3 linked regions of the Schizosaccharomyces pombe genome follow. The gene in region 1 interacts genetically with each later gene. Each region holds a gene or a part of one and is shown in the gene's direction. Other genes may lie near its edges.

What was found.
Region 2: of nse6 (region 1) and dmc1, a mutation in one rescues a mutant of the other (synthetic rescue), as found in Schizosaccharomyces pombe (2 studies listed by BioGRID, with this or other methods).
Region 3: mutations in nse6 (region 1) and rad26 impair growth when combined (synthetic growth defect), as found in Schizosaccharomyces pombe (2 studies listed by BioGRID, with this or other methods).

What each region holds. Positions count from the first base shown.
Region 1 is NC_003424.3:5,296,031-5,299,788, reverse strand, and holds nse6 (Smc5-6 complex non-SMC subunit Nse6), read left to right. Parts: upstream 1-2,008; 5' UTR 2,009-2,055; coding exon 2,056-3,624; 3' UTR 3,625-3,740; downstream 3,741-3,758. Other genes in the region: protein tyrosine phosphatase Pyp3, read right to left, coding at 1-558, 664-951. UniProt on the Schizosaccharomyces pombe protein: Acts in a DNA repair pathway for removal of UV-induced DNA damage that is distinct from classical nucleotide excision repair and in repair of ionizing radiation damage.
Region 2 is NC_003424.3:3,380,157-3,383,914, forward strand, and holds dmc1 (RecA family ATPase Dmc1), read left to right. Parts: upstream 1-2,107; 5' UTR 2,108-2,175; coding exon 2,176-2,248; exon of another isoform or gene 2,249-2,322; coding exon 2,323-3,248; downstream 3,249-3,758. Other genes in the region: SPOM_SPAC8E11.04C (palmitoyl-(protein) hydrolase), read left to right, coding at 600-672, 744-828, 940-987, 1,043-1,188, 1,303-1,625.
Region 3 is NC_003424.3:4,448,843-4,452,600, forward strand, and holds the start of rad26 (ATR checkpoint kinase regulatory subunit Rad26), read left to right. Parts: upstream 1-1,762; 5' UTR 1,763-2,003; intron 2,004-2,083; 5' UTR 2,084-2,272; coding exon 2,273-3,022; exon of another isoform or gene 3,023-3,077; coding exon 3,078-3,743; intron 3,744-3,758. Other genes in the region: GTPase Ypt2, read right to left, coding at 73-675.

The sequences.
Region 1 (3,758 bases):
AAGCTGATCGACCGATTGAACAGATTGCATTCTTTGTGACCGAAGACTGGAAACTATATTTGCGATATTATCCACCTCAAATTTCGAAGTTGAAGTAGAGTCATCTGTTTGAGATAAAATCTCAAATAACGCCATGAAAGTTCCCGTTCTGCCACAACCCGCTGAACAATGGACTATAATGGGTGCTGTTTCAAAGTCCGGAGAATATGAGAGACTTTTTATATAGCGAGTCAGTGATAGTAGTGAGAAGGTATGTGGTGCACCAAAGTCAGGCCAACCGTTATAGTAAAAATGCAAAATTTTTTTCTTGACCCCGTCCTTGTTCAGCTCAAATTCACGAACTTGAACTTCATTTAATGATGTCAAAGTATAAACTTTTACCAAAATAACGCTTAAATCACCGATATTAAGTGTCTCAAACAGTTCCACTGGCCAATAGATATCACATTTCAGACGATGGCGTTCCCTCAATTTGGTAAGCATAACGATGATGCCTGATTTTGGCACAGATTGCCAGACCATCTTCCAAAAAACATCAATACTGTTCGACGTTGGACCCTATATAAATAAAGAAGACTAAGTTAGTAATTATGTTACAAAAAATGATGAAAAGAAAAAAGGCCAAAGCCGTTTACAATCCCGCAATTTCTTTTTATTCCTAACCTGAGTAGCGATAAATGTTTTCCCAGAAGGGATTTTTACTATGGAAGCATTAATGTAATCACATGCTTCTTTCCACATTGGATCTAAACGAACACGAGTATTTTCATAAGGGACTATGTTGGAGTATCGGTTTCTAGCCAGCGCTTTCTTACTTAGCTTTGGCAACCTAGTATTTAACAGCTCTATCTCTTCCTCATTGAGTCCCTCAATAATCATGTACGCTTTTTCTTTTATTGTGATCAAGGGTGTTAGAACACCATTTTCTGTAGATACTTCTTTAAAAGACATATTGATTTTTTGCGTTTATTCGCTTTTAAACTTCTCACCGAAGTATTTTTTTGTGTCTATCAAAAAGAAAGAATAATTTCTACTAAACGACTTTAAATGATTCCTAAAACCATGACAGAAGTCAGTAAAAAAGAGAAGTATAATTGTTTAATAAATCATCATTGTACGGCCCCCACATAGCGCTAGTTTCTAGTTGTAGTCGTAATCTAGTTCACGTTCACATTCACTTCGTAGGACTAGGCCCAGAGTATTTGCGAATGTCTATGTGGGGGTAACTCGAACCTTTACGAAGCCGGTAGTATGAAGAACAAGCTATATGTGGGATACTTTTATAGGTTGTAAACAACTGTATTGATGATAGTGAATAAAATGATTTAAACGCACTTATGTTCTCTCCAAGGACTTAATCGATCTGCTATACTTTTACTTTCAAAAACAAAAATATTTAAAGTGTAGAGAAAAGTTTTGACGTTTCTTATATAAGGCCAAGTATTATAATACTTGCTCAGCAATTGTTTCATTAAATGCCTGTTTGAATGTCGCCATTGTTCTTTAGGAGTTGTGTTTGACTCGTTTGACTCCCTTACTTGGCTTCTTTGGTTTTAATGTAATTTGTAAAGATTTCTTTGAATGAAAACGTGCCTAAATTGGTTTTAGGTGTTCTTTCTTCTAAGGTTTCCAATAACTTTAACTCAGAATTAGTAAAAATCATTAATTGTTAACAAAAGCTTATGACAGGTTTTTTCTATTCTTTTTTTTTGAATGTTCGCTTAAGAAAAGTCATATGTAAACATCAACGAAGCCAGCTTGGATATGTTTATGATTTCTCCGGTAATAGCAGTTGAAATGCTATAAACTAACAAATTATTCATTTAATAAGAAAATCAATAATTTACTCGATGTTTAATATTATTTGCTTGGAATGCTCAAATTGGATGAAATGAGACTATAAACAACAAAAAAACAATCGTCGTCAAACTATAATGCTATATAATTAAATTATAAACGTTTACTTTCCACTATTTACTATTTCATAATTTTTGTTATATATCCATCCACCCTTTTACCAAAGCACATCAAAAGTGTCTTTGCTGGTATAGTTCTATGAATGCGTCTAATAACATTTCAAAATTTCCTGATTTAGATAATTCTTCAAAATTAATTGACCACATACTTGATAGTGATGATTCTGAAGAGTTGGACGAGCTTCCTGATATCTCTTCTTTGGTGCCTTCGGCAAGAGCCCAATCGCGAAAACAGTATTTGAAAAATGATTCTTCTAATTCATCTACATACAGATGGAATATTGATCTTCTTTCTAGTACTGCTACAATTGACGATTCGGTTGCAAAAAGAAGAAAATTAGCAGTACAAAATTTATTGCAATATGACAGCACTCAAACCTTTCAAACGGGAGATGAAATTGATGAATTAATAGGAAAAAGTGTTGGATCAAATGTTTTGAATGTTCTACGTTCTAACCCTATTTATGATGACGACCTTAGGTACGAATATTGTAGCAATTCAAAAGCTCGTGTTCCAGACTGGAACACCCTGAAAGCAGAATGCTTGAAAGATAACGATTTGGAGTTTAATGAAGGAATTATACCAACAACTTTTGGTGATTTATTATCGGCAAAATTGGTCCCCTTAGATATTGCATTGTCAATATGCAGCTTGCAATTTTTCCGCTCTTTAGGAGACACAACATGCTCTGAATGGATTGCTAACCTAGAAAAGATTTTTTATAGCTATAAAAGCAGCTCTAATAATCTCAACCAAATTGTACGATTTATTTTTGAGACTACTGCAGATATGATTGGCATTGATTTAGCGAAACGACAGGTACCAATCCAGTTGGAACGTACGTCAGCCTCAGAAAATTTAAAAAGCAATTTGAAAATTAAGGTAATTAATTTCCTAAAATGCTGTGGAACTTTGTATCGGTTCTCCGACGACACTGTTCGCTTTGAAATGATTCAGGATGCATGTCGAATCTTAATTGACAATCAAGTGGGCTCATTTTGTAAATGGCAATTTTCTCAATTCATGGAACTTCCAATATCATTGAATCCAGATTTTTTGATCAGTAATATTCATAAGGTGTCTGAAAGTCCTAGAGTTTGGGTTACAATACTATCTTCTTTGTCTCGTTCCTGCCAAAAATTCAGAAAGAAGATTGCTTTTACATTATTTGTTGGGAAACAAAGTAAAAATGATGATTCAGACTTTTCTTCTTTATGTCAACGACTAGATGAAATTTCCGCTTCCTGTAATAATGACTATACAACTTTATTGTACCAGATTCGTACCTTCGGATATGCGGTGGATGAAAAGCATTTTAAAACTAATGAGCGCTTAGAGTGCTTACTGGAAAAATTACGAAAAATAGATTTAACAATATCTGGTTCAACAGACCATTTGCTACTATCGAGATGTGAAGTTAAAGATTGCATACATAGACTTTTTATGGTGCTTTACTATTTAAATACAAACTCAGCACCAGAATTGGAGAGGATTATTGAAAGTGACTTGCCCAATAATAATAAACAAAAGGACAGGTATTTCAAGGATAAAACTTCTAACTTATCGATGAAAGAAAACAAAAGCTTTTCAGCTAAAAAGGTGAAGAAGGGAAAAAAGAAAAATAAACGGCAAGCGTACAAAAGATAAACAATCAGTGTATTTATTAATATTAATTTCAGTGCTGGCGCAAATTCAACAAATTGTATAATACTTTCTAACTAAGAAATCCATAGTTTAATTTAAAAGAAAGTTACTTATTATAATTCCCTTGGAATTACAAA
Region 2 (3,758 bases), 1.9 Mb from region 1:
ATAGCGATTGCTTTTATAAAAGGATTTTGGTGCAGTACTAGGAATATGAATACGCGATTGATATTGAGTAATGTTCTGGCACAAGCGTTTTCAGCTGACAGATTTAAGCAGTCTGTTTTATAACTATTCTCAAGTAATACTTTCCCATTGAAAATAAAAAGTTATTTTTGTAATGTGGTTGGATTGTATAGTACGACTCTGCGGTTGAAGAAATGCAGAAAGCATCTTTGGCTAGCAATATAAATAACAAAAAAAAAAAAAAATTAGTCAAGCTAATTTTGTGTTTTATAAACAAAAAAAAAAAACCTTTGGAACAAAATTCTTAGTATACAAATTGCGATAACGTATTGTAATAGCCAGCACTCAATTTGGATTCTTAGTTTCAAGATATACATATATCGCTTGGATTAACGCTAACACCATTTTTTACGATTATTTTTCGCCTGCAAAAGAAAAAATCATAAGGGAAATATTATATATTTACACCATACCTTCGCTTTTGATTCAATTAGCTTTGATACAAATACCTGTCTTATAAAACTGGTGTTTGCCCTATTGCAACACCTCCATTCCCTTAGTACTTTTTAAAACGTTTCATTATGACTGCCAAACTCAATTCAGTAATAATTAATCCCAGCGTGGCGCATACGGCCACTGTGATTTTCCTTCATGGTATGAACGATGATAATGTTGAGACAAACATATCGTATATTTTCTTCATAATAGTAACACATTTATCTTAGGTTTAGGAGATAGTGGACAAGGATGGTCTTTTATGGCAAATACGTGGTCGAATTTTAAGCATATTAAGTGGATCTTTCCCAATGCGTAAGTAAAAGAATGTATTTAATCATGCAATTGTCTAAAGTAATGTGTGATGAATGAATGAGAATTCGCATTACATACTTTGTATTTTGATGCTAATTATTTTGTATATAGTCCATCTATCCCTGTTACCGTCAACAATGGCATGAAAATGCCAGCATGGTAAGTAATTGTTCTGCTTGATGATAAAGTACAATGTTCGCTAAAACTTTTTTAGGTATGATATCTACAGTTTTGCGGATATGAAGAGGGAGGACGAGAATGGGATACTACGTTCAGCAGGCCAATTGCATGAATTGATTGATGCAGAACTTGCTTTGGGGATTCCTAGTGATCGCATATTAATTGGCGGATTTTCACAAGGTATGAGCTGCCATGAAAGCGGTTAACTCGCTAGTCATTGCATTTTCAAAAAAAAAGTGAAATGGTTTTCACTTTTCAAAAGTATATTGCTTACTAACTCGTCATTTTCTCTAGGTTGTATGGTTTCCCTTTACGCTGGACTTACCTATCCCAAACGTTTAGCAGGAATTATGGGGCATTCAGGGTTCTTACCTTTGGCTTCAAAATTTCCATCCGCTCTCTCTCGAGTTGCTAAAGAGATACCCATTCTTTTGACTTATATGACCGAAGATCCTATTGTTCCCTCTGTCTTGTCGAGTGCTTCAGCTAAATACCTCATCAACAATCTACAGTTAAAATGTCTCGATCGACCTTTTGAGGGAGACGCCCACTCTCTCTCTTCAGAATCGTTTATGGCTATGTATAAATTTACTCAGACAGTTATTGGTTCACCATAAGTATTGTGTTTTTGGTGTTGAGACTTTGCAAATGAAGGAAATTGACGAGTCTTTTGCACTTTTAGAGTTACTCATAAAATTAAATAAGATTTACCGTGATTAACTTTTCCCTTTTTTAGAAAGCAGTTTCATACTAGTAACTTAAGACTATGAATTGTCATCCCATTTGGTAGGTTCTCTCCAACAGTTTTACTCATTTATGGCATTTTAAGGATTGAAGCATTTTGTTTTGAGTATAGATACTATGGAGTTTAGTTTTCATTTTTAGTAGCAATATTTCGCGACGCGTTCATTGTTTACATGTAGCTGCATCAAGTATAATACATGATTATGAGTGCATATACTCTATAGTTGAACTTGTAAAGTAATTAAACTAAAGAAACAAATAGATCTACTGTTTTTTTGTTGTGATTTAGAGAGGTAATTTTGGGAATTTCCGCAATATATATATCGTGGATAACTACAGCAATTCTTCTTTCTACATAGTACGAACAACAACCAAAAACCGTGTAATTTGATTAATACACGTTCAATATAAAAATAAAGTGCAATGGAAGAATTCGCAGAGGGGAATGATGATGAACAAATGATATTTAGTGACATTGAAGACCTAACTGCTCACGGTAAGCTTGAATGAGTATACGGCAGTTATAAGACTCCCAGTATTTGCTTTAAATATCTACTAACATAATCAAAGGGATTGGTATGACCGATATCATAAAATTGAAGCAAGCAGGCGTTTGTACGGTGCAAGGAGTCCATATGTCCACAAAGAGATTTCTCCTTAAAATCAAAGGTTTCAGCGAAGCCAAAGTGGATAAACTGAAGGAAGCGGCATCAAAAATGTGCCCAGCAAACTTTTCCACTGCGATGGAAATCAGTCAAAATCGTAAAAAAGTATGGAGTATTTCGACAGGATCCGAGGCACTCAATGGCATCCTTGGAGGGGGAATTCAGTCGATGAGTATTACAGAAGTATTTGGAGAGTTTCGTTGTGGTAAAACACAAATGTCGCATACATTGTGTGTCACTGCCCAGCTTCCTCGAGATATGGGCGGGGCCGAAGGAAAAGTAGCATTCATAGATACAGAAGGAACATTTCGACCTGATCGAATCAAAGCCATTGCAGAACGATTTGGTGTAGACGCCGATCAGGCTATGGAGAATATCATTGTCAGTAGAGCATACAACTCTGAGCAACAAATGGAATACATCACAAAATTAGGAACCATTTTTGCTGAAGATGGCCAATACCGTTTGTTAATTGTCGATTCCATCATGGCACTATTTCGGGTTGACTATTCGGGTCGCGGGGAATTATCAGAAAGGCAACAAAAATTAAACATTATGCTTGCTAGATTAAATCATATTTCTGAAGAGTTTAACGTAGCGGTCTTTGTCACAAATCAGGTTCAAGCAGACCCCGGAGCAGCAATGATGTTTGCGTCCAACGATCGAAAACCTGTAGGAGGCCATGTCATGGCTCACGCAAGCGCGACCCGTCTGCTGTTAAGAAAAGGTCGAGGTGAGGAACGTGTCGCAAAATTGAATGATTCTCCAGATATGCCTGAAGCCGAGTGCAGTTATGTGATTACACCTGGTGGCATAGCAGACGTTTCCTAATTGATTTTCTACCTATTCCAAAAAAAAAACAAAAAAAGAAGAGAAATAAGAAAAAAGATCAGCCAAGTTCAGCAATGCCTTTTATCATTGCGTTTGTGCTTATGTTTTAACAAAATTGAGTGCACTGATTACGTTAATGTTAACATTTTACTGCTGCAATACTATATCTTTAATACAATAATCAGTTCACTATTGGTCTCTAAAATGGCTTTAAAGAAAAAGTTTGGATGAGAAGCTCGCGCCATTTTAGATAACCAAACCAAGATTTTCTTAACTACACATTTATCAAATAGTTGCGAATGGCGCAAACCCCCAAAAGCAACTTATTCTTACGAGTCAACAAATTTGTTTAAGTAGTGTCATGTGAAGTTGCTATCGCATGTATCAATTAACAAAAGCTGAGCGCCTTTCATTGCAATCGTTGGACAATCTGACTTCCACCAAACAATTATATCGTGTGAGACAGAATTCGTCATCACCTTTGTTCCAGTTTATTTCCCGATTCTATGA
Region 3 (3,758 bases), 850 kb from region 1:
TATATACGTATCGGCGGTGCTAATATCAAAAACTAGCGAAAAAGAAAATGTGACAAGATAATAATAAGGAGCCTAACAACACCTCTTCACCGTACGATCGTTTCCGAGGTCAACGTTATTTGCCTGGTTGGAAAATTCGTTTTCTGCATCAATCTTTTGTTTTTTTATTTCCCGGGCAAGGGTAAAAAATGCCTCATCTACATTGACGTTCGTCTTCGCACTAGCTTCTAAAAATTTAACGCCCAGCTCATCGGCTAACGCTTGTCCCTGTTCAAAGGAGACCTGACGCTGATCCTCACAATCACATTTATTTCCAATAAGGATTTTATAAACATTTTCACTAGCATGTTGTTCAACGTTACTAAACCAAGTTCGGACGTTATCAAATGATTTTTTATCAGTTACATCGTATAACAATAAAATACCCATTGCACCACGATAATAAGCAGTGGTAATGGTACGGAAACGTTCCTGGCCAGCAGTGTCCCAAATTTGGAGTTTGATACGTTTTCCATCTAGTTCAATCGTGCGAATCTTGAAATCAATTCCAATCGTTGTGATAAAAGAAGGGGTAAACGAGTCTTCCGAAAATCTCAGAAGAAGACATGATTTTCCCACACCTGAATCTCCTATGAGAAGTAATTTGATTAAATAATCGTAGGATTTTGTAGACATGGAGGAGTGTTGCTTTTGCCAGGTGGTAAGTGGTAGAATCTACTGGAGTCCCTTGAGATAATGCCGCAAAAATACACTTAAATTTATTAATTCAAGTAATGTTATTGTATAAATGGTACTAGTTTTATTTAAGTCTTTGTTTGTGTTTTTTTATGTTGAAAAAACATGACTTTCAACTTTTTTATGTACGTTTCCTAAGGGCAATAAACTCGAAGTTTTGATAAAGGAAGTCACTATTCTAGGGCACATACATACACTCTTGAGAAAGTAACAAAGATATTCACAAGAGAAATAATTCAGATTTCATGTCAGAGAAAAATCTCTGTCACTAAACAATTTACTAGCCATGGATTAATTTATACGATTTGAATGACTGGTAATATGACTAATATAGTACTGCATTGATCAATTTAATCAATGTTTATATGACTGTCATTGACCTAAACATACTTATAATTAACGCTTTAAGTGTTTTGGTTTAGATTTTTCCTTTTTATTTTTGATAATATAGTAAATGGATGGGGGAGAAACAATGAACTTAACGTTAATTCATATGATCATCATTTTAGGCTTTGTCATTGTTGTTCGAGTTGAAACAATAAACCGTTTAAACCAGCATAAACTATAAAATGTTCTACGATTAGGAGTTGGACTGTCTGAAAATAAATAACTTTTAAATTTTTCGAGGTTATGAGTATTCAATAGAGATTGAAATTAATAATTTCTACAATAAAACAAAATAACAAATTATTTCATTTTATCCATTGATATATTTGGTTAGACTACAATTCGATCTTACTTTTTTAATAATATTTTCATTTTTTTAATTCTTTTATGTTTATTAATTCGAATAAATGATGGAAGCCATTTGTCATAACACCTTAATTTAAGTATAAAAAATATTTTTCTCATGTTTTATTTTTAAAAGCATTCAAACATCATACACTTATTTTATTTATTTTTTATTATTGACAATTCAAATACTTGATTTTTGGCTAATAGTGATTTACAGTACTTGAGGTCTTATTGTCGATTACGTAACTCGTAAAACTTCAAGTTGGCTATTCGATTGCTAACCAAAATGCACTAATACGCCAAGTTCAACAAGTAAATTAAAGATCACAAGAAATACTCATAGCAGTTAAACGTATCGTTAAAGCATCTTATATAGCTGCGCATTTTGGAAAAGACTATCTTATTTATCATATCTGTTGGTGCTCTGCAAAATCAATTCATATTGCTACAAGGGTTCAATTATTCATACAGGAAGTTACGCGATTAAGCAGCCTTAGTGACTGCAGTCATATTCTGCTATTAGTGTTTCGTTTGTATGTGGTATTCATACTAGAAAGAGATATGGTTTTTCGGCCTTATCTTCTCTGCATAATATTGCTTACTAACTGTTAAGGTTTTCCAATTGCTGAATTACGATAATTACAGTTACCAAGGTTGCTGAAAGTATTTGAAACAATTTACGATTTATTATGAATTCAATTCTTTTTTACAGAATAAGAAAAACATTGGGCCCATATTACAATTTGGAATCACTTCAAACAACTATTGTTACGCATAAACGAGAGTGAAAGCTACAAACAAAATGATGGCTGATGAAAGTTTTGACTTGGAGAGTTTGGGTTCGGATGAAATATTTGAAGGCGTGAATTTAGATGAATTAGAGCAACAAGCTCAAACCCAGGTTCAAGCTCAAAGTTCTCAAGTAGTTGTACCGAGTGAAAAGCAAAAGCAAAATTTAAATCTTCCAAATTCATACACCAATTCTTCTCAAAAAGTCCGGGAATCTACCGTAAACTCACAAGCCTCATTATCCTCTAATGACCTTCGAACAGAACTTTTAATTAAGTCGGGAGAAAATGCAATTCTTCGTGCTAACCTTCTAAAACAATCCGAAGCTAATAATGCCGCCCTAGAATCGTTAAATAATTCTATAAAGCAAAAGCAAGATGAATACCAACGGAAATTAGAGGAGCTTAAAAAAGAAATTGAATACGCAAAAACGAAATCCCTATTTCATGAGCGTGAAGCACAGGATGCTATCGAAACTATGAAAAAAATGAAAAGAGATGTAAAGAATTCTCCGATTATGAAAAAATCCCATGAAGAAGATGGTGACAATAAATTGTTATCTTCTTCTGATCAGCTTGCTAAGAGCACAAAGCATGCTGCAAAAAACAGCCCTTCTAAAAAGAAGCGCAAAACAAGTGTTGCTACTGCTGAAGATGCTTCAACGGATAGTGTGAGTTCTAGTATTGCTATATCAGATGCAAGTTTGTCTTTGAGCCTGATGAAAGATTTACTTTCTCTACAAAAAAGAGAAGATTTGTATTTTGTAAGTATTTTTAAACTGTCGTGTTAAATTTTATTCCCTTTTCTTACTTTTCTAGTCTTCTAGAACTTTAGCATACGTATTTGGTGGTTGTATGCATTCATTAGAAACAATTGAAGGAGAGGAGGAAGGTGAATGTTTGTTTAATAACTTGAAAGCTCTAATATACAGTCCCGATCTATCTATGGATTCCTCCAATTATGTACAATCTGTCGTTCAAACATCATCGTCGATTTTAAATTATTCAATGAAAAAATTATTATATAATGCCTCCTTTGCTATAACATCTTTGTTTAATGCATTATTAATTTTGGACCCTAAATCATCCACCTTTATCTTTCAGGAAAATGTCGTTTCTTTAATAAGTGGTTTTCTTCTTAAGGAATACGAAAAAAGCAATTTTTTGGACTCAAAGTTTTACGTTTTAATAGATTTTCTTTATTTATACTTATCTATAGCACGTGAAAGTGCTGATGACTTTGCAAACATTACTAAAGCGGTTGATCCGTCGTTATTCGAATCCTGCATTCGAGTGCAAAATGCTCCTTCTTTGATTAAATGTGGTGTTTGTTTAATTATTAGTTCCACCACTCCTTCGTTTTGCGCTTCAGTTAACTTGTTAAATGCCGATGATAAATCCCAAGAATCACTCATGCAACTTTTCACAACTATGGCCCATATTTTAGTTGTTACTACTAGGGAAAGGATTAATTTTCCTGAATTGGTACGTTTACGAATT